Linked DNA regions of Arabidopsis thaliana. The protein of the gene in region 1 interacts with the protein of each later gene in a pairwise test. Each region holds a gene or a part of one and is shown in the gene's direction. Other genes may lie near its edges.

Region 1 (7,664 bases):
TTATTAGTAATTGTGTCTGTATTTTACGTTTATGTTAGTGATTTTAACCGACTTGTTAGTAAACTTTTTTTCATTTTTCGTTTATGTTAGTGATTTCTACCCGTCCCCTCAAAAAGTACTAACATGCACGTAAAAATGGAAAAAAAATATCACTAACAAGTCGATAAAAATCACTAACATAATATAAAATGAAGACAAAATCACTAACAAGTCCATTAAATCACTAACATGATCGTAAAAATGAAGATCTAATCATTGTTTGTCGCCGAAGATTATGATTTTGGAGAAACAAAAAATGACAACTGATGGCCACTAATGGGATAGGGAATATTTATTTATTTCCAAAAAAAAATCATACTAAAATTTTGGAAAATAGAAGATTTGGTTGTAAATGGTATCTTAATCTGATTGGTTATTAATTTTAATTAGGGGTTAATTCAATTAAAAAATTATCGTTTTGGAAAGTGTGTAATCCAAATCGTTGCGAGCGAGTAAAAATACACGCATGATTCTGTTTGGAAATTTGGAATCCAAATCGTTTGGTTGTTTCGATTTTCTCGCCGAAGATTTTTGCTTTAGAAGTAACAAAATGATAATTAGTGAGCAAAGTTAAATATTATTAACGGAATATATGTTATTTCCAAAAAGAAAAGTCTCATCCTCATTCTTTTGAAAATAGAAGATTTGGGAAATCGTCATAGTAATATATTATTTCTTTGTATCAAATACATATCCATCTACTATCCGGTTGTTGACCCTTAAAGCTTTTGAAGACTACTAGAATAATGCAAATACCATATGTCCATATCCATCCTTTTCTTTTGTTTGAACTGAACATTCTAATTTTGTAAAAGAAAAAACCTTATGTTAATATCACCGTAGGCAAAAAAAATATCTCATCATATTAAATTTTTATTATAAGATTATACATTCTCTCGTTGTAAGAGTTACTCCAATTGCAAGTGTTGTATTAACTAATAAAAAGGACGAAAGTAGGAAGCTTATAATTAATTGATGTTGCATAGTACTGGTATATTGTTGATGAATATAACAAGTATGAACATTAATGCATGAAACGGGGTATTTTGTCTTGAACTCATTAAAGGCAATGTGAAAAGAAGATGTGAGGTCTCATTTTGAAAATTTATCTTCTAGCTTTGTCGATTTTAAATCTATGAAATGAACGCAACATATAGAAATTTCATGTGGACAACGACATTTAGACGGTATCTTAATTAGACCGATTAATTAGTAATATACTTATATATATAATTAGTGGTGATTATAAGTTTACTTATCCACTTGAGAATTTAAACAATGGGCAATACCTTAATGTCGAAAGAAGCCGTCCCCACTTCGTGTAATGAGTTATGGGGGAGAGATCCTGTTAAATCGTCAAATAAAACAACTTAAGAACTAGAAATTGACACCAAAAATCATAAAGAGAACGTTGAAGAAGTCATTTATCGTATCCAGCTCATATTTCCTAGCTAAGATCAAATCAAGGCCGTTGAAAGGGCTTGTAAGAAAATGTCGAAGAAACCGTGGGGTTTAGAAGAAAGACAAGAAATAGAAGAACAATGATGTTAAATTGCCTATTTTGGTGTATAGGAGTTGTCAAAAGAGGAGAGAGAGAAGAAAATTAGGTCAAAATAATGAGCACTAAAAATGGAGACATGTGTTGAGTAACTATTACAAGAGCGACTTATGCTTCCTTATGGCAATGATATCCAAACCAAAGTGCAACGCTCCTTTTTTGCCCTAATTTCGTAAAGTCTCTCTCCTTCTTCGTCCTTAGGAAAAACCCTAGAAATTTAATCCCTTGTTCTTGATCTTGCTTTTTGAGTAACCATGATTTTGACCACACACTATTTCTTCTATCTTTTGTGGTCTATAGGATTTTGCTTTATATGTGTTTCTTGTATTGCTCCGTACGTACGTATACGAATTTAAATGGTTATAACAAGGTTTATATAAACTAGCACAAATGAGTCCATGAAATTTGTTAGCGAAAAAGGTAGAAATATATTGAGTCTTTAAACGGCAATATATATAATTTTGCTGCAAAACTTAGCTTTAATCATGATCTAATGATATTTTCTTTAATTTCCTTTGCCAAATTAATCACATGCACGGATTTTTGGCAAGTTATGTGTCGAATTCTTCCATTCACACAACACTAAACTTAATTAGAACTCTAGGAAATATTTTAAAATGACAACTTTATCGAAAAAAATTTAGTTATGAAAACAATTCCAGAATTAAACATGAGCTATATAATTTAAGATAAAATGAAGTAATATTGATATGTATGTAATAACATATCTGATTGCGGTAAAAAAAAACATATCTGATTAAATTGTTCATGCAGGCCCATGTCACTATGATGTCATCACGTTTTTATTTTCACAATAACTAATATATATTCAAAAAAATAGTTTTGTCAGATTAAATTTTTTTTGGTGGTCAGCTTTCTCCAACCTACTAAACTAGTTTGGAATGTTCTCTTCTTTATTTTTCTTTTTCTTGATTTCTTATGTTTTTTATTTATGGAATTTTAAGACGGATTGTTTAGGTCGTTTCTCTCTTTTCTTGTTTTCTAAAGTTACTTTTGTAAACTCATCTCCTCCCAATTAGACAGTCAATCATATAGTTATCTTTTAATATATGTCTAGTTGATAAAAAAAATGAAAAAATACTGGTGGTAGTTCTACTAATGTTTGTGTAAAAAATCTGATATTATGAATCTAATCAATTTCTTTGATCGTATAATGTGGGTTAAATTTAGTAATTTTTTACATAAATAAGAACTGTAATGTTGATGTATATTGGGGAATCAGTATATTAGCTTGGGTAACTATACTTCTGGAAATACTTGAAGATTTAACTATTTGCAAAATTATAATTTAGTCCCGAAAAATACAGACGACGGGACACGACAACATATAAGCAGGTTTGAATCTTGGAAAATTTTGTATACATAACCTATATAAATACTAATGTTCTGGTTGGGTTCAAAAGCCTTTTCAAAAGTTCCATTTTTTAAATTCAAGGACATTTTACATAGGAAATAAGTTGAGTCATAAAAAATAATGGTTATTTTGTAAGGTTTTTTTTTTGATTAAAACGCACATATTAAGAAGTTAGTTTTTTTTCACTACCAAATATCAATTAATTTAAAACCATGCAACCATTCATAAAACAATACTATTAAAGAATATAAATAATCACAAAATATTAAATACACTTAAAATTTACATATAAATTTACAAAACATCTAATTAATTGAAACAGAAAGGAAAAGGTAAAATATATCATAAAATGAGACATATATCCTATAAAAAAAAAATGAGGCATATGAAGTAAATAATAAGAGACATGCATGTAAGCATTCGGTTAATTAATCGAGTCAAAGATATATATCAGTAAATACATATGTGTATATTTCTGGAAAAAGAATATATATATTGAGAAATAAGAAAAGATGAAAATGGAAAATGGTATGTATAAAAAGAAAGGAGTGTGCGACTCTTGTGTCTCGTCCAAAAGCAGATCCAACCACAGCCCCAAAAGAAGCATGATGGAGCCTCAGCCTCACCATCTCCTCATGGATTGGAACAAAGCTAATGATCTTCTCACACAAGAACACGCAGCTTTTCTCAATGATCCTCACCATCTCATGTTAGATCCACCTCCCGAAACCCTAATTCACTTGGACGAAGACGAAGAGTACGATGAAGACATGGATGCGATGAAGGAGATGCAGTACATGATCGCCGTCATGCAGCCCGTAGACATCGACCCTGCCACGGTCCCTAAGCCGAACCGCCGTAACGTAAGGATAAGCGACGATCCTCAGACGGTGGTTGCTCGTCGGCGTCGGGAAAGGATCAGCGAGAAGATCCGAATTCTCAAGAGGATCGTGCCTGGTGGTGCGAAGATGGACACAGCTTCCATGCTCGACGAAGCCATACGTTACACCAAGTTCTTGAAACGGCAGGTGAGGATTCTTCAGCCTCACTCTCAGATTGGAGCTCCTATGGCTAACCCCTCTTACCTTTGTTATTACCACAACTCCCAACCCTGATGAACTACACAGAAGCTCGCTAGCTAGACATTTGGTGTCATCCTCTCAACCTTTTTCATGTTGATATATTATATATAGATGCATAAAGATTCGATCCAAGATTGTATGGGTGTTTTAATATTATTATTCTAAGATATATGATGTACAATTGTGTACCAAGTTTCTTTATCTTGATATCATATGCATAAATAATTGGTGAATAAAAAGAAGATATTGATTGTAAACAAAAAAAAGAAGATATTGATTGTTAATTAGGGTTTGATCATTCTGTATGAAAGCTTTGGCCTGCAAATTAATTTTCGATATATATATATATATATGGAGAATATATATCAAATACTTTTTTAATTTGACTATAATTTGTATCAATTATCTGAATCTGATGAGTGTAGGTTATATATGGATTAGCAAAAAAGAAAACAACCATTATTACGCACCTACATTAAAAATCATCCACCAAAGAAGAAACCATCCTCAAGAGGGTTCCCATATTGGAGAATAATGAAAAATTTAAGAAGAAAAGGGTCGAGATTTCGACGGACAAGCATTCTGATTATTACAAACATATTTTAGAGAAATTTAGAAAGAAAATTAAACTAAAAATTAAAAAGAAGCAAACTGAGATAACTCTCTGTCTCAATGGAACGCCGGCCAGAAGTGATCATCGTGATTTTGGTTACCATCTTGATAAGGTCAATCGAGGAGTGTATCCGTTTCAAACACCACACGTCCACTATATTTCGCCAAGTTAAATTGAAAGGAAGATGAACAATCAAGAGATGTGGTAGTTATTTTGAATTAAGCATATCCAAAAAGACCCTAGGCGAAGCTGAGAGATCGCAAGTTCGAGTGACACTTGGAACGAAACTAATATTACATGATGTGGTTTCGGGCCTAAAGGAATTACGGGCTTCGGCCCAGAACCTCCTGATATTCAAAAAAAAAAAAAAAAAAGATGTTTATAATAATGATCTTTGAAATTAAACCTCTACATTTATCATAATATTCCTAAATAGTACGTAAATAAAAAACATGCAACCCATGCATATCCAGTCTTAAGTTTATACATATAGATAAATCTCAAACCATACAAATACCATTGTTCTTGTGATTTTTTACTTCCATTTCCTTTTTCCTCCAACGGTGTCATATAAAGCTAACAAATAACTCGTGATTAAACGGACATTTCCAATATGGGCTTTTGGGCCCATAGTGATATGGGTCTCCTTCCGATATCTTTGACTGCGCGTGCCTCCAAAGTTGCTGTAGAGAACAGAAAGAGGCCTTCGATCCTGGCTTTGTCCAGACAAAAGCTGCCTCATCTACCTGGAACTTCGGTCGAGGTAGTGGTGAAGGGGGGATATGTAATCTCAGACAACTCCACAGGTGACAAAACTAGACGTAATCCTAATGGGGACAGGGTCGGAGCTAGAGATAGCTGCAAAGGCTGGAGAGAAGCTAAGAGAAGAAAGAAAAGCAGTGAGAGTAGTGTCATTGGTGAGTTGGGAGCTGTTTGATGAACAAAGAGAAGAATACAAAGAAAGTGTGTTACCTTGAGAGGTTTCAGCAAGACTGAGCATTGAAGCAGGGTCGACCTTTGGGTGGGAGAAGATGGTTGGCTCCAAAAGAAAAGCCATCGGTGTAGACAGTTTGGAGCAAGTGCACCAGCCAATGTGCTCTACAGGAAATTTGGACTCACCGTGGATACGGTTATTGCAGCCGCTAAAGACTTTTGTTAAGCTAAGCTCTCTTTTACACATCATAAAGACATTTTCTACGTTGTTCAAGTGTGCCTTTCCACATACATTTACCCGGACTCACTCACTAGTCACTATAAATCAATATCGTTATGTTTTTATCTTACAATAAGTGAATTTGAAGAATAAAATAGAGCTTTGATGGATATTACTATTATATATGCGGTCTAGTAGATGCGTGTTGTTATTATATTATTCCTTGAAGATTACTCTTTGCTTTTTTGTACCCCATGGATAAATGTGCCTTGGTATTAAGTTGCAAATTTGATTTAATTAATCCCTAAACATGTTACTAGTTAGAGTTTGCACGTGACGATCTTGGGCAGCACCTAAACATGTATTTGTGTGCGTAATTTTGTAATAAGTAAGTGCATCGAGTTTGATGAATCAGTATTTGAATGATAATTCGATGAAAGTACATTTGTTGCCATAAGAACCCTAAAGTAAGATCCATAAGGATGATGAAAGCTTCATTAATAATAAAAGTAAAGTTAATCTACCTATAATAACTAAATTAATCAAGAGTGAAACTAAATCTGTAGAAAATTAAATGTAAGAGATAGAGACTAGAGTGATTAATTAAGCTTTGACTATCCCTTAAATCCTCATAATCTCTTCTTGCTCTTTGACCATCTTCTTCTTCTCTGTGTGTGTGCATTTTCGAGAGAAAAAGAAATAAAGAAGGCCCAAAAATAGAGAAACAAAAATCTTTTCAATTTGATGATCTTCCCTTATTATTCGGAGAGCCTATAAACGCTCTCACCAAACAAACCAAAACCAAAACCAATCCAAGAAAAAAAAGAAACCTCAAAGAAGAAGAAGAAGAAGATTCTCTCTGTCGAGGTAAATATGAAGCAAATGTCGCATCTTGATGATATTCCTTCGACGCCTGGCAAGTTCAAGCCCTACTTCCACCGTACGCGGTGGCAATCCTCCGTCGCCAAGCTCGCCTTTTGGTCTCTCGTCTTCGTTGGTTTGATCTTCATCTTCTTCTACCGATCTCCCGTTTCCTCCAATCCCGCCGATCCTTCTCGCCGTTCTCTTCGTACCTACTCCTGGGGTGGACCCGCTTGGGAGAAACGGGTCAGATCCTCCGCCCGTCTCCGTACCCGCCGCGGTTTCTCTGTTCTCGTCACCGGAGCCGCCGGTTTCGTCGGTACCCATGTCTCCGCCGCTCTCAAACGCCGCGGAGATGGCGTTCTGGGGCTTGACAACTTCAACGATTACTACGATCCATCGCTCAAGAGAGCAAGGCAAGCCCTTTTGGAGAGAAGCGGAGTGTTTGTTGTTGAAGGAGACATCAATGACGCTGCTCTCTTGAAGAAGCTCTTTGAAGTTGTTCCCTTTACCCACGTTATGCATTTGGCTGCTCAAGCTGGTGTCAGGTACGCCATGGAAAATCCTAGCTCTTATGTTCACAGTAACATCGCTGGCTTCGTCAATCTCCTTGAGGTTTGCAAATCTGCCAATCCCCAACCCGCCATTGTCTGGGCTTCCTCTAGCTCTGTCTACGGGCTCAACACTAAGGTCCCCTTCTCCGAGAAAGACAGAACTGACCAACCAGCTAGTCTCTATGCTGCTACTAAGAAGGCTGGTGAAGAGATTGCTCACACTTACAATCACATCTATGGACTCTCTCTTACTGGCTTGAGGTTTTTCACCGTCTATGGTCCTTGGGGAAGGCCTGACATGGCCTATTTCTTCTTCACCAGAGACATTCTCAAAGGGAAAGCCATTTCAATCTTTGAGGGGGTCAACCATGGAACCGTGGCTAGGGACTTCACTTACATTGATGACATTGTCAAGGGGTGTTTAGGGGC
Region 2 (8,381 bases), on another chromosome or scaffold:
TTTTGGTGAAGTGGTGTTGTAGATCTGTGAAAGTTTCGACACCGGTCCCTTTGGTGATGATCAATAATGTGCTCAAGCCATCGATAATCTAAAGTTACAATAAGTTCAAGCTTTTTTTTTGGAAGAAAAACCTTGTGTTATAGCTTTGAGTAAACCGGTAAATGTCCCTCAAGTCTCCTTCCGAGAACCGAATTCTCTAATCATTTTTCAGTGCTTTTTATTAAGTTCAAGAACCCACATGTCGCGATTTGATTGTAGCCAATTCTGATAAGAACATGCATTCTAGAATTAGAGCAAATCAACAAGTGTAAAATTGTAAAATCATCTCTATATTTGCAACAGAAATTACCTAAATGTATCTCATAACGTTTAAAATACAAACTTTATGATAAAATGTACAAATGCGTCAACAAATGTGAAATAATCAAATAAAAATAGGTATTGGGAGGGTCACGGTCCACGTTCAGGTTCACGTCTTAATTTTACGGCTTATTATACAAAACCATAACCAAAATGTTCTTATCTCACTTTCCTTTCTATTCCCGGATTTGCCGCTTTCTTCTTCTTCATCATCTCTCTCTCAAAATCACCCCTTTTAAAGTTGTTTCCTTTATACGCAAAAGTGAACGCAGATCTTAATGCAGCTACTGTGATTTCGATTCTTAGGGTAAATATATTCTTTTACTCATTGGATTGGCACTCCTCAGCATCTGGGTTTTTGCAAAGGTATAATTTTTATTGTCTCTTTCGATTGGATTTGATTGATCTGCCGATTCTCTGTTTCTCCCGAGCTTTGTGGGTTAAGATCTCGATTATCTATCTGGGAATCTTTAGATTTTGTGTTCATCGGAGCTGTTAATCGTTGGACTCGCTAGTGTTCTTCTCTTGTAAAAACTTTGTGGAGGAGAATCTGATTGTAGGTATAGTGTGAAGTGAGTTTGAGCTGAATTCTGTAGCTTTACATGGAAGTTTTTGGTTGATGATAACGTCTTGTACTTTGATACCATATCTGACCATAGTCGCCAGATTCTTAATCGGATCTAGTTCGAGTTATAAGACTCTTCAATAGTCTCTCCTTAGGTTCTTATGTTTTTATTGTGTGTTGATCTGGTTTCTCTGATCAAGGATTCAGCTTTTAGCTCCCTTTATTGGTCATATAAGAATAGATCTGTTTGATTGGTTTCTTAACTGAGCAATTGTGTAGCAGATTAGGTGCTTATCATTATCTTTGTTTTTGTTCTGTGTATTTGAATATCTCATTAGGATCTTGGCATCTCCTATTGATCATGATATCTTGTTCTCCGAAGTTTGTTTGGTTTTGTAACAGATTTTATGTTTATGCAGCATTCTTATTACTTCCACTGATTCAAACATGTGGAAGTTTAAACCTTTTGCTCAAAAAGAACCTGCGGGTCTCGAAGGTCGATTTCTCGAGATAGGAAATCTGAAAGTTCAAGTTAGAAATGTCATTGCGGAAGGAGGTTTCTCCAGTGTTTACTTAGCTCAAGATGTAAATCACGCGTCAAAGCAATATGCTTTGAAGCACATGATATGCAATGACGAGGAGTCACTTGAACTCGTAATGAAAGAGATCTCGGTTCTGAAATCCCTCAAGGGACATCCAAATGTTGTCACGCTCTACGCACATGGTATCTTGGATATGGGGAGGAATAAAAAAGAAGCTCTTTTGGCTATGGATTTTTGTGGTAAATCTCTTGTGGATGTGCTTGAGAATAGAGGTGCTGGTTACTTTGAAGAGAAACAAGCTCTTACGATTTTTAGAGATGTGTGTAATGCTGTCTTTGCAATGCATTGTCAATCCCCACGCATTGCTCACAGGTATACATGTTGTATTATTAGATTTCGTTTCGTTTTTACATTAGCAAGCGATGTGAATTGATACTGTATTGGTGTTGCTAATCGTGACAGAGACTTGAAGGCTGAGAATCTTCTATTGAGCTCAGATGGACAATGGAAATTGTGTGATTTTGGAAGCGTTTCGACAAATCACAAGATTTTTGAAAGAGCAGAAGAGATGGGAATTGAAGAAGATAATATTAGAAAATACACAACACCAACATATAGAGCTCCTGAGGTTTGACTGGATATGCACCTATGCAGATTATAAGAGTTTTAAAAGTGGTGAAAAAATGTTTGATTTATGTCTTTATTGGCAATAGATGTGGGATCTCTTTCGAAGGGAGATGATAAGCGAGAAGGTCGATATATGGGTATGTGATGACACTTTTTCAATCTCTCCAGATTGCTAATCTATTTGGTTGAAACTTGAAAGTAAAGGTTTGTTTTTAAAAAAAAATAGGCTCTTGGATGTCTCTTGTTTCGGATATGCTATTTCAAGAATGCATTTGATGGAGAATCAAAGCTGCAAATCTTAAACGGGAATTATCGTATTCCAGAATCGCCTAAATACAGTGTATTTATTACGGATCTCATCAAAGAAATGCTCCAAGCTTCACCCGATGAACGACCAGATATTACACAGGTTAAAAGTCAATTTTTACTCATTGTTTCTTCTCAGTTGAGGAAATGTAAAATGTCTCTAACAACATGTCCATCTACAGATTTGGTTTCGTGTCAATGAGCAGCTTCCTGCTAATTTACAGAAATCATTACCGGATCGACCACCTGAAATGCAATCTACTGGAGTCCATGATGGTATAGTGAATAAAACCTATTTTGGATAGCTTCTCAAAGAAAGATGTGATTTCTTTTGATCCTTATGAATTTTGACAGGCTCATCAAAATCAGCAACTAAACCTTCTCCAGCACCTCGTAGAAGTCCGCCACCGCCGCCACCATCTTCTGGAGAATCAGATAGTGGAGGACCGCTCGGTGCCTTTTGGGCGACTCAGCATGCTAAAACCTCAGTTGTATCAGAAGATAACAAAAACATGCCTAAATTTGATGAACCAAACAGTAACACATCTAAATCTGAAAGAGTTCGTGTGGATAGTCATCAACCCAAAAAACCAAGTCCTGTGAGAGGAGAGGCTCGTGGTATTCAAAGAAATAAAGATCTTGAAACTACGATTTCTCAGAAGAATACAACTCCTGCTGCAGCCAATAACATGACAAGAGTGTCCAAGGATGATGCCTTCAACTCGTTTGTTGCTGACTTTGATACCACAAAGTTCGATAATGGTAATAAACCTGGCAAAGAAGAGGCATTGGAAGCTGAGATACAGAGGTTAAAAGACGAGTTGAAGCAAACAAAATCAGAGAAGGCAGAAATAACTGCTAAGTTTGAAAAGCTTTCTGCTATCTGCAGATCGCAAAGGCAAGAGTTGCAGGATCTCAAACAAACACTTGCCTCTAAAAGTGCCTCACCGTCACCGAGCAGAGACTCTTCACAAAATCAACCCTCTCCAGGGATGCATTCCATGTCATCAACTCCATCGGTATTATTCTTGGTTCTTGTTCATCTAAGCTTAGACACCCATACAAAAGTCTTCATCAATGTATATCTTAGAATTCTAATGTTCTTGATGAAACAGAGAGATAAGATGGAAGGAACAATGTGGGAACTTCAACAGGACAGATCTAACTGGTCAACTGGCAGCTCTGATACAAATTCATGGCAACCTTTTAGTGATGAAGCGAAACCCGTGATGGAATCTGCATCAAAGGGTAACAATAATACGATTAATCAGTCTGTGAGAACCAGAAGTAAACCAGCTTCTGCTGCAGGTACTCAAGGTTTTGAGCCATGGGGTTTCGAGACAGAATCCTTTAGAGCCGCTGCAACGTCTGCAGCTGCTACTTCTGCATCTGGAACACAAAGATCTATGGGCTCTGGAAACAGCACTTCACAGAGATATGGGAACTCAAAGATGAGAGAAAACCAGAAAACAGCTCAACCTGCTGGATGGGCCGGCTTCTAAAACTCACTCAGATGCGCATTGCTATTTCTTCCTCATGCAACAACAACAGCTTCATGTTGCTGCCATTACAGAATCTTGAATCTTTTTGTAGATGATGATCATCCCCTGTTTTTGTGCTGCTGCTAAATATACCCCACCCATATCCATTATGTTTTATGTAGAGTCTTAAACTTTACACATTCTCTGAGCTGTGGCCAGATATCTCAGCTTATGGATTATTATTGGAAAAATAAATAATTCAAGATTCAGACAGCTTACACTTCTTTCTGTGAAACTTAGAACTAAGGTCACATTTAATACCGAACCCAACCATACGATGGCTGCATTATGGTTTAAATGTTACCCAAAAAGATTTCAGCCGTAACTAAATCAGCATTTTAAAATCCTGGATTAATTTTCGTTAATGTAAATCTCACATTGAACCGGACCCGAGTAGAAAAAAGTAAAAAACCGAACCAAAACATTAAATACCGAGCCCTAGTTTAGTTAGTTAGAAGGAACTTAAAAAGAGTTCGTGTCCTGAAAATCAAAGAAAAAGCTACCAAATTTTGAATCGTTGTCTTTAACTTGATTTTCCCCAAATTTCTCAGAAATCAAAATCCGCCGGAACAATGTCTACTCCCGATCCCAATCCCAATCCAAATCCAAATCCTTCCGTCTCTGTAGCAGTATCGACTCCAATCGTCACCGCATCTGAATCTCCGGTGACACAACCTAACACAGTCATAACGCCGTCGTCTCAACCTCAACCTCAAACACCAGCTTCGTCGTACAGAGCCATAGCTCCGCTTCATCGTCATCATCCTCATCAAAATATCTACACTAACCCTTTACCGATTAGGCGTTCGAATTCCGTTACTAATTCGCCTCATCAGCCTCCTCACCCAGACCCGTCTAGTCTGATATACCCGTTTGGTTCTTCGGGTCGAGGGTTTCCGACCCGACCCGTTAGACAGAATTCCAATTCCGTCGCTGATCCAGTTGGTAGTCCTAGTCCAGGTGGGTATACTCCTCGAGGGCCAGTTTACGGATACCACCATGGCCAATTCGTGTCGAATTTGGATCCAATGAATCAGTTCATGAGAGCTGCACATCCTCAGAATCAACAATCTCCTCAACTTGGTTCCGGTCATATGAAAGGAGTTCCTCATTTTTTGCAACCTCGGGTTAGTTATCGTTTTCGTTACCAAAACAAGTTTGAATCTTTTTGTTTAATTCCATAGTTTTGTCAAGTGTTTTTTTTGTAGCTTGTGCTAGTTAGTGAAAATGTGTATGTTGAAGTGAAGATTATTTGCTTTGGTGATTGTAGAATTCGAATAGCAATCTCTAATGAATTAGGAAAGGTTGAAACTTCTGTTAGATATTTGTGTGAGGTTACATTTTGTAAATTTTGGATTTTTGATTGTTAGGCTACTCCTTCTCCAACTTCAATTCTAGACAACAGTGGGCATAAGAAGGCCAGGTACTTTATCTTCTTTGCCATTATGCTTTGTTAATTAGAAACTACTCTAGAAACTTAATAATGTCTCTGTTTCGTTTCCATGGTGTTTAGGAGCCGGGATGATGCTCTGGTCCTCGTTAGAAAAAGAAAGGTATAGTTTTATCCTTGTTTTTTGGTTTTGCATTATCGTTCGAAACCGCTTGCTTCGCCATTTGAGGAATTTTAAATACTTTTTATTTGTTCTGCAGGTTAGAATAACCGAGGGAGCTTCTTTATACTCGCTGTGTCGATCTTGGTTGAGAAATGGTGCTCATGAGGGAATTAAGGTTCGTATCCATTTCTTATTTCTGCTTTGTAGTATAATGCAACACTTGGATTTTTGTATATCTATTCTTGATATCTTTGGAAGATTAATGACGTTGTTTACAGCCGCAGCGAATTGATATGATGACATGTTTGCCAAAGCCTTTACCTGTGGACAAGACGGAGACAAGTTTGCCAAAAGATTTAGTTGAAGAAGCAATTTGCGAAGAAGACAAAGAGGTTTCGTGTTTCTCTGATTTCTTTCTAAAATGGTAATTGTGAAGGGTAAAGCTAAGTTTGATTATTTACTTCAACTCTCTTGATGAGCTTCAGGACGAGGAATCTGTGAAACATTTGTCAGAATCTGATCTTTTGAAAAGACATATAGACCGAGCTAAGAAGGTCCGCGCTCGGTGAGTCCCACAACATATCATCAAAGCTAAGTTCGATGGTTGAAGATTGAATATTTTTTGTTTTGAACAAAATTGTGTGGTTTGTTTTGTTTGCAGATTGAGAGAAGAACGGTTAAAGAGAATCGCGAGGTACAAGGCAAGATTGGCTCTTCTTCTGCCACCCTTTGGAGAGCAATGCAGGAACGAGTAATGATTTTAAAGTTAGGGACTTCGGTGTGAATATACTTGCAGTTGATTTAGAAATGACATAAATTATCTTAGAGCCAGAGTTATGTCTTATGTCTGTGTGTAATATAAGAAAGATTTTCTCTGAATTTTCGTCATACACTCGTATTAGATGATTCTAAACTAATCAACAATCTCAAGATTTTCTGAGATGGTTAACTTATATAGCTCTTATCTTTTTTTTTTTTCAAGAACACCTAGTAGTTCTTGGACAAGTAAAATTTTCAATATAGTATTCGGTCATGGTGGGTCGACCATGTTTTGAACGCTGGATCGATCATCATGTGGTCGGACGATCATAATTTCAGAGATTGATCGACCATCCTTGGAAGCACGAACACATTTAGTCATGTGTTTGAATTTTCTTTTATCTTATTTGTTTCCAACTCCCAAATGATACGAAATGTCACAAAAACTCTTAAAATCACTACATAATCTAAGACTTCCTAAGACACAAATACTCCTATGGACATTAAAACAAGATTTTATCAACAGTGAAGCCATATTATCATCACTGTAGTTCTGAAAATGCCATATTGCCCAAAGTCTTTTCTAGCTAGTATGCCATAGTGGCTAACATCTTCTTCTTTCTTTTCATCTCTCTAAATAAGCAAAAAATTGAGAGGCTTTCTCTTCCTCTTCTATTCCTCTCCAACATAGTATTCATTCTCTCCTCATCTCATCTCTTGTTTCTTTTCAGCCGGAGCTTGTGCCGATGGTTCTACGTCGATCTCACTCTCTCAACGACGAAGAAAACATCCCCCAAAGCCTCCTTCTATGTCCAAATGTAAAGCTTCTCCGCAGCACACAACCTTCCACCGCTGTACCACCACCGTTCCTACTTTTCTGACATGGAACTGAAGCTTTATCAAGTTTTATGTTAAGTAATGTTAATCGGAAGTCCTTTAGGCAAGATGTCTAGCTAAATGTTATAGAAATTCTAGGGTGACAATTTTTGTTTTCAGGCAGACAATGGTAACTAGTAACTGGACAAATTAATTTGAAGTATACAAATTATTATGGACAATATTTTTCTAATATTTGTAGACAATTTTTATTACATATAAGATCAATTACTCAAATTTTGTTTTAAAATATATTTTTTCGAACGAAATATGATTTTAGGATGAAACAAGAGGCCATATAGTACGACGAACATGACCCATCCACAAGCTTAATTTGTTCTTGTTTTCCAACTCACTCTTTTCTAATTTGAAGATTAATGCTTACTGACCTTTAAGATTAAGATGTTGTAGTTTTGTTTTTCAAGTTTTCACCGTTTAAAATACACAAATACCAAAAGTCTTTAGTTACACTTTGTTATGTAACAAAAAACATTGCTGGCATAGTGGCATATTGACAAACCTTCCAAAATTTGATTTATCTGTTTGAAATATCACAGTTAAAAAAACAAACCCAAAAAAAAGAGATGTTTATGACAAATGAACTCCATGAATATGTATTATTCCCTGGCATATGTAACAACATAACTTTATTAACCAACTCTTGTCTCATTATAAATTTCTGAAACAATGTATACAATAATTACTCACTAATTCTTGTAGCAAATTAAACCCAAAAATAGTTAAGAAGAAAATTAACAAAAAAAAATATGGTTGCATACGAGAAGAGTCCTATTGTTTTTCTATTTGCTACAATGATGCTTGTAATGTTTTTGTTTTGTGGAAGTGGAGAAGCAAGAACATTAGGGTACGGATCTATTAAAGGAGACCGAATTCCGGCATGTGGCTATAAAAACCCCAATTCATGTGTCAAACAACCAGTTAACCATTACCATAGAGGTTGTGAAAAAATTACCAGGTGTGCTCGTGATGCTGCTCGTTATACTGAATCCTTCAATGTCGATGACGATGAAAGTCCCATTATTAATCTCCATTGAAATTTAATCTTTAATTTACTTTCGTTGATACTACAAAGATTCATGTATTTATACGTCGTGTAGCTTGAATATATTCATATACCTAATTATCAGTCTATTAAAATGTGAAAGATTATATTTTATTAATTTGTGTTTTTATGTAAAGTCACTAATTGTTGTCTTAAATTTTTATGTATTCTATGCTTTTCCTGAGATTA
Region 3 (7,780 bases), on another chromosome or scaffold:
AGCTACATAAATAAAAACTCTCAATCTAATGTTATTTTTTGAAAAACCAAAAAGTGTTTGAGAAGAGAAAATAAAATTCTCTAAAAGATGATAGAATTCATAATAATATCAGGTTGGACATTTAATTGATAAAATATTGATACTCTATATTTGGAGTATCACTATTCAATACTTTAAATTTGAAGTTACATCTTTTTTATTTGCATTTAAGTCCCTAAAATTATATATTTCATAAATAATCTTACAAATTATTTGTTTATCATTATAGTCCTTAAATTATTATATATTCAAAGCATTTCACATATATCTTATAAATTTAATTGTTACATATAAAATTTAATATATAGACCTTTCAAATAAATTCAAAATATTAATATTTAAAATATAACATAGAATTAAAAACAAATATTACAAACAAACTATTATATTAAAAATTTAATACAAATTCAAGCAACACAATGATAATAAAATTACATGGAAATAAAATTATATGAACACAAAAATAATACACAAATTAAAATATTACAACAATACTAATATTCAGGTAAATTTATGTATTTTTTATTTTTATTTATATGTATTTTATTTATAAACGTATTGTTTTGTTAATTAAGATTATGTGTAATATTTTAATGTATGTTTTAGAGTTATTTATAAAAGTTAGATTGTTTTAAAATTATTATGAATAATATAAGGACTATAATGCAAAATACACATTTTAAAACCTTCATATTTGAAGTATACTCTTGGAGAAGAAACTACTCATACTTTATATTTGAAATTTACATACTCTATATACGAAGTATCTCTTGGAGATGCTTTCAATTAGTATATCTCTAAAAGTTATTTACTTGTCATGTAGCAATAGTGATTATCTGTGAAAATGATTTACATGTAAAATGATATGTTTTCAGGTATCCAATAAAATTATATATTTAACCTCGTATAATTGTAAAATTTAAATCTGTTTATAAATCTTAGGGGGTGAACCCAAGTATTTTTCATAAAATTATGTCTCTCATACATACAATTTTAAATTTCTACTTCACATTTATTTTGTTGAAAATTATATTTATTTAATAAACTTAAACAAAATCAATTCATATTATGTTCGTACTTTTTTATTTCAAATTACAAATTTAACTTGTTCTTTGATCAAAGAAACCATCATATGATTTTCCAGCTATTTTAAATTACAAATTTAGTTTGTTTTTTGTACCGACTCATAGAAATAATTTTAGATATTGGTTTCTTAATCACAGAACAAGTTATATTTGTAAAGTAAAATAAAAACTACACAAGATTTTTTTTTTAAGATATGGAAGTTTTGAAGTTCACAAGGAAGAGAAAAGTTAAAACCTTTCTTACAAAAAAAATCATGGTATTTAAACCTATTTTTAACATGATATATGAATGATAAATATATAGATGCATGCATTATGCATAACATAACTATGCAAAACATGAGCAAAACATATGCATATGAAAAAACTTTTATATGCAAATCACATCACCTAAAACATGTTTAGCATTGTGAACATCATGGAATTCATTCATTATGTAGAGAAATAAAGAAAAAAGCTTATTAGAGATTATACATATTTTAAGGATATCAACTAGTCTATTAGAACATAATATTACTGCCATGAATGGATGGAAGTAAGGCATATTCACTCCAAATTGCTGCATTTCCCTATGTCGCTAGAATCAACCATATGGAAAACTTTTCCACACTTTTCCACATTTGTTTTAACAAGCGTGTCAAATGAGATTCTCAACTAAAACAAAGACTGATTATTCAAACTCACCACAAAGGTAAAGAGATGATGTGCTTAGATTGTGATTGTAACGAGGCAGCACAAAATTCACACGAACAAGGTTCTCATGGCCAATGAATGATTGAACAAAAGTTAATGTTGTGAAGGCGATTGCCGTCATAACCAAAACCTTAACTACATACACAACAACAATTATAAAAGGATCTTTTGAGCTATTGGTCATACTCATATTCTTTGATTAAAGAAACCGTTATATAATTTTCCAGCTGTTTTAAATTACAAATTTAGTTTGTTTTTTGTTCCGACTCATAGAAATAATTTTAGTTATTGGTTTCTTAATCACAGAACAAGTTAAACTTGTAAATTAAAATAAAAACTACACAAGATTTCTTTAAAAAAAAAAAAAGATATGGAAGTTTTGAAGTTCACAAGGAAGAAAGAAGGTAAATCTTTTTTACAAAAAAAAACATGGTTTAAAGTTTAAAATATGTTGGAATGTATTCATGGTTTCACATAGTCTAAATTAAAATGATACAATATAGAGGAATTGTTAGAAATGCTTCTTTTATATTTCTCTTTTTAAAAATACTTTTTTCTAGCTATTCTTTTAGTTTATATTTTTCGATGACCAAAGGTTATAAATTTTACAAGTTTTTCTAAAAAAAATAGAAGTGTAAAAGTTTTGCTAAGTTTTGACGGTCTTAAGTGATTTTAGTTTTGGGCTTTTGTATATAAAAGAGTAAAATATAAAAATCAAAAATCAATATTATACAATTACAATTTAATTACATTAGCTAACTAAACTGTATAAACATTCATTATCTATACAATAGTATCTCTTTTTTTAAATTATATATATATATATATATATATTGCTTCAATATAAGTATCTGAAACTTTAATACACATTATTACATAATATCATTATGTACTTTTGTTATCATCAATATGTTTTCAACTATACACCTCCTAAATTTAAATCACAACCTAGAGATGTTGTGGTGGGTAAAAAAGCCCAGCCCGACCTGAACCCGAAATAAACCCGCCCACCAAAAACCCAACTTTAGAAAACTCAGATGGGTTTTTTATTTAGTGGGTAAACCCCGAAAAAACCCGATTGTTCCGAAATATATTTTGCTTATAAATATATTTTAAATTATATTTATTTTCTGTATTACATATATATTTGATGGGAAAAAGGTTGAAATGTTAAATTGCGTTTTTTGGCGGAAAAATGTTAAATTGTGTTTTTGGCGGGAAAAATGTCAAATCCTTTTCTTGGCCGGAAATGTTGAATGTCATTTTTGGCCGAAAAATATTGAATATCTTTTTTGGTGTGAAAATGTTAAATTCCGTTTTTGATCGGAAAATGTGAAATCTTCTTGGCGGGAAATTGTTGAATGTCTTTTTTGGCGGGAAAATGTTAAATTGCGTTTTTGGCGGGAAAATATGAAATCATTTTTGGCGGAAAATGTTGAATCGCGTTTTGGCGGGAAAATGTTGAATTGCGTTTTTGACGGGAAAATGTTGAATATCGTTTTTGGCGCGAAAATGTTGAATGTCTTTTTTGGCGGGAAAATGTTGAATGTTTTTTTTGGCGGTAAACTGTTAAATCGCGGTTTAGGGGAAAAAATGTGAAATCTTTTTTTACAAGAAAATGTTGATTCACTTGAAAAAGGACTTAAAAAAACCCGTGGGTACCCATAACCCAATGAGATAAACCCATATGAGTTTTATTTATTTGGATACCCAGTGGGTTTTAACCCATCATTAACATCTCTATCACAGCCTTTTTTTCTTTTTATAAAATATATTGCACTGTGATAATTTTAAAATACGTCTGTTATAAAAGATACAAACACACATACAAATACACTTCATATAAATACTAAAAAAAAAAAAATCCTCAGTGTAGCGAGAGTCCGATCCTAGTTACAATTATTAGACTACTGAAATGCTATGATATTATATTGTTACCAAACTTCGAATATCCACTTTAATAACAGTTATAAAAATTGTATTATCGTAATGTGTTATCAATACTTATATTTTTTATAGTGTAAGAATAGTGTAGGAAAATACTTGTTTATATTGGAAGTCAAAATTAAATAAAAATGACATAAACGATACTATGAGAAGAAATCAAACTGAGTAAAATGGGCATAATCCAACTATTTTGTGAGCCGATACATATGACAATTTTCGATCGCTGAATCATGGTTTGGAAATATGTTTGATTACTACTCTCTCTTTCTCGGTCAAATTAACATCCGTAAGAGAGAGAAAATTATTCAAACCCCTAGGTTTATGGTGTACTTCGAACCTAGCTAGACTGGGTATTTTGACAATTTCAGTGTCCTAAAATATCTTCTAATAGTAAGAAAATGAAAATGATGGCAAAGAAAAATCGAAAATTTCATGTTTTGACAAAAAAGAAAAAAAAAAAAACTCTTTTTAATCCTAACTAAGTAAATATTAATGTTTTGAGAACTGAGCATTTTATAATCTTTTCCAAAAAGGCAACTATTAGAGAATATTATCTGCTGAAGAAGTCCCACAAAAAAAAAAAAGATATAGAAGCCATGACTTCGTTACTATATTACACATGAAAGTTGCATCAATTCCCTCTCCCTCTTCTTCATCTTCCTCTTTCTCTCCATTATGGATTTAGGAACAGAGATAAAATCAGACACAAGACAAGAAGAACAGAGACATGTTTTCGAAGATTACCCTGAACCTCTTAGATACACCGTAAGTATCACTTTTACATAGTAATCAATTTCTTCTTCATATATAACTATCATCTTCTTTTCTCAATACATATATTTCTTCGTCTTCTTTTTATTGTAGACATGGGTTTTGCGAGTTTCTATCCATTGTGAAGGATGCAAGAGAAAAATCAAGAAAATATTGAGCAAAATCGATGGTAATATATAAACTAAATCTAACGTTTTATTCTTTTTCGATATTGATTAACTAATTATGAGTATTTATATGATTTTATTTTAGGTGTATATACAACAAATATCGACGTGAAGCAACAAAAAGTAACGGTGATCGGAAACGTAGAGCCGGAGATTTTAATCAAGAAGATCATGAAAGCCGGTAGACACGCCGAGCTATGGCCAACGTCAATGGAGAACAACATTAACAACGATTGTAACTATCAGAAGAAACCAAAGAAAGATAACGAAGAAACTAGTGGAGATGAAGACGACGACGAAAACAACAACAACAACAACGGCGGAGGTGACGTCGGTGGTGGAGGTGGTGGTGGAGGAGGAAACTTTGATCAGGTTAAACAAGTTGTTACGTTTGTAAACGGTCAACTTCAACCACAAGGAGATGGAGCTCCGAAGAAGAAGAAGAAAAAGAAAAAGAAGAAGAAAAGCTTAGGGAACACGACGGTGGTAATGGAAGGAGGCGGCGGCGGCGGTGGCGGTGGTGGTCCTCCGCAAAACGATGGACCGCCAGAGACAGTGATATACTCAGCTCCACAAGATCATCACATTATACACGGACCACCTCCTCATCTACATCATCATCAGCAGCAGAATCATCCGTATCCAACGGTTCACAGTCCTCCACGTCATCATCCACAACAAATGTACGGGCCGGGTCCGGGACTGCCTCCTCCTTCGTTTTATCATACTCAGCCTCAAACGGCGCCGTCTTATACGGTGAGTTACAACACGGTGCATGGGCCAATTAATAACGGTGGGAATGAGACGGCGTCGTATTACACGGCTCCTCCTTCTCATCCGACGTCATATTATTCTTATGAGTACGTGGACACTGGCTACGAATCTCCACCGCCCGAATTTTATTCGTATAGATCTCAACCGTCGGAATCGTTTGAGTCACTAAGCGAAGGCAATCCAAACTCTTGTTGCGTTATGTGATTTTGGAAGTTTTTTTTTACTGCTTTTAAGAATCAAATTGACATAATTGGCCTTGGAATGGCATCTTGTAAGTGTTATTAGAGGGGTATTTCGTAAACAATCAACAAAGAACGATATTAGTAAGTAATTTAATCCAACATAAAAATTTATGTATTTCGTAATTTAGCTATCTTTTGGTAAATGAAATGCGAAAATGTACTTCTTTAATGGAAAATTCAGCTATTCATGGGCTTATTCTTTCTTTTTCTTATAATGGTGATTTTTATAATTATTTTTTATTTTCGTCTATTAGATTCGTATAATATAAGCGGTTTATATTATACAAATCTAATACGCGATAATAAAAAATAATTATAAAAATCAACATTATAAGAAAAAAAAAAGCATAATGATTAGGAAATATAAATTGTTAACATATATTGATAGATTTAAAATGACATGATTGCAACAACAAAAAAATTGTAGTATGATTTAAGTATACATTATGATCTACGAAATTTGTAATACCTAAGAAAACATACGGTTTTCATATAAACCAATACCCTATACGGAAGTGACGTGGTGAAGTAGTGTACTATTTTCGAATATCATTTTTTGGGTGCAAAATTTAGAATAACATTTGAGGAGAATAATTGGACTTGGAGAGGAATAAATCTTTTTCCGAGAGAAATAAAAAGAGAGATTTTTGGTGAAAGGGAATAAGAATAATTTGAAAAGGAAGATAAATATGAAGAGAAGGCATATTTAGAAAGCATATTTAATGACAAAGAATATGTAAATAGTGTCCACAGGGAATCGAATTGTTAAATTGGTCTTACATGTTTTAATGTTATACAAACTATATTATATATTGTACTTTTTCCCTAATAAACAACTAACGTGTGAAACTAAAACCGTTAATTACCTATATATACACATGATGTAAACATGTCATTGATACTTTAATTCTTGAATGGTTAAAAGAGAACCGACCAAGATTGAGAATCTGATTCTAGTTAGTAAAACCAATCCACGATAACACATATAGATGTGAAAAGAAAAAAGTTTAAAATTATGACATTATGTCATCACTTAAAGTTATCGTGTGATGGCATAAGGCTGGAAAAAATTGTATGACTATGATGGCATAAACACAAACTAGATTACATTATAGATTATGGTATAAATTGTTCGTGTTTCAAAGAATAGTTATCGTTGTTATAATCAATATTCATTTAATCACATGCATTGAATACTTGCACATATATAACGGTCAATTTTTGTAGTTTTTTTTTAAGTTTATCTAACCACATTTAGTTAGTGTCCGTAAACTAAACTATAAGTAAATTTCTAATCCCCAATGTTTTTCAGTAGTGATACTATTTAGTGTCCGTAAACTAAATTGTATATTGTTTGATGCAACATATTAATGTTGGCATGTCTCTTCAGAGATTCTTTTTAGTAGAAGTTTCATGTTTCTTTCGTAGTAAAAGATTGACATTTTTTGACCTAGATTTATTGACTGTTATAATTGTGTTTGACCAAAGTGTGGAAAGACAAACAAAAGATTTGGAGTTGATGTTGATGTTGTATATGTGATGTTAAACATTAGGAGGCTGAGACCAAGCAGGGGAAATGTTAATATTTACTAGCATTAGTTAACGGGAGTTCAGTACCCATTTGCGGGTTAGGATCGAGTTTTCGGATTTAGAGATATAGAAATCGTTTGGGTAATTCTAGATTTTGCGTTTGGATAGGGTTCGGATTCGAATTACTCGAAGTTCCCAAATATCGTTTTTTATAACCAAATATATCCAAACTACTCGAAAGTACAAAAATATCTAAAAACCTTGAATATTTTTATCCAAATTAAATACCCAAAAACATCTTAAATATCCGAAAATCCTAATATTCTGACACTAAGATTATTACAAATATAAATATAAATAATATATGATTACTATGTATTTAAATTGTGAATTGTTCGGTTATCCGTTCGAATCGGGATGGTTCGGATTTTTGAGTTTGGAAGGATTTTGGGTTCGGTTTCAGATCGGATATTATGCCCCACCCCTACTGTTGACCCATATGAGGTATTGGGTTTTGTAACACTTGTAATTT

Evidence for each region. The genes of interacting proteins can lie anywhere in the genome.
Region 2: the proteins of IND (region 1) and AT2G32840 interact in a two-hybrid assay, tested with the Arabidopsis thaliana proteins (2 studies listed by BioGRID).
Region 3: the proteins of IND (region 1) and AT5G27690 interact in binary tests that used the Arabidopsis thaliana proteins (3 or more experiments, as listed by UniProt).

What each region holds. Positions count from the first base shown.
Region 1 is NC_003075.7:39,024-46,687, reverse strand, and holds IND (basic helix-loop-helix (bHLH) DNA-binding superfamily protein), read left to right. Parts: upstream 1-3,490; coding exon 3,491-4,087; 3' UTR 4,088-5,023; downstream 5,024-7,664. Other genes in the region: GAE3 (UDP-D-glucuronate 4-epimerase 3), read left to right, coding at 6,694-7,664. UniProt on the Arabidopsis thaliana protein: Transcription regulator required for seed dispersal. Involved in the differentiation of all three cell types required for fruit dehiscence. Acts as the key regulator in a network including SHP and ALC that controls specification of the valve margin.
Region 2 is NC_003071.7:13,930,969-13,939,349, reverse strand, and holds AT2G32840 (proline-rich family protein), read left to right. Parts: upstream 1-4,400; 5' UTR 4,401-4,513; coding exon 4,514-5,068; intron 5,069-5,311; coding exon 5,312-5,364; intron 5,365-5,454; coding exon 5,455-5,494; intron 5,495-5,591; coding exon 5,592-5,669; intron 5,670-5,772; coding exon 5,773-5,886; coding exon of another isoform or gene 5,887-5,922; exon of another isoform or gene 5,923-5,979; coding exon 5,980-6,059; intron 6,060-6,155; coding exon 6,156-6,249; 3' UTR 6,250-6,511; downstream 6,512-8,381. Other genes in the region: AT2G32850 (Protein kinase superfamily protein), read left to right, coding at 1,373-1,839, 1,930-2,095, 2,181-2,231, 2,321-2,503, 2,583-2,676, 2,755-3,419, 3,516-3,902; RALFL16 (RALF-like 16), read left to right, coding at 7,897-8,184.
Region 3 is NC_003076.8:9,799,357-9,807,136, forward strand, and holds AT5G27690 (Heavy metal transport/detoxification superfamily protein), read left to right. Parts: upstream 1-4,290; 5' UTR 4,291-4,439; coding exon 4,440-4,529; intron 4,530-4,628; coding exon 4,629-4,704; intron 4,705-4,787; coding exon 4,788-5,680; 3' UTR 5,681-5,910; downstream 5,911-7,780. UniProt on the Arabidopsis thaliana protein: Heavy-metal-binding protein.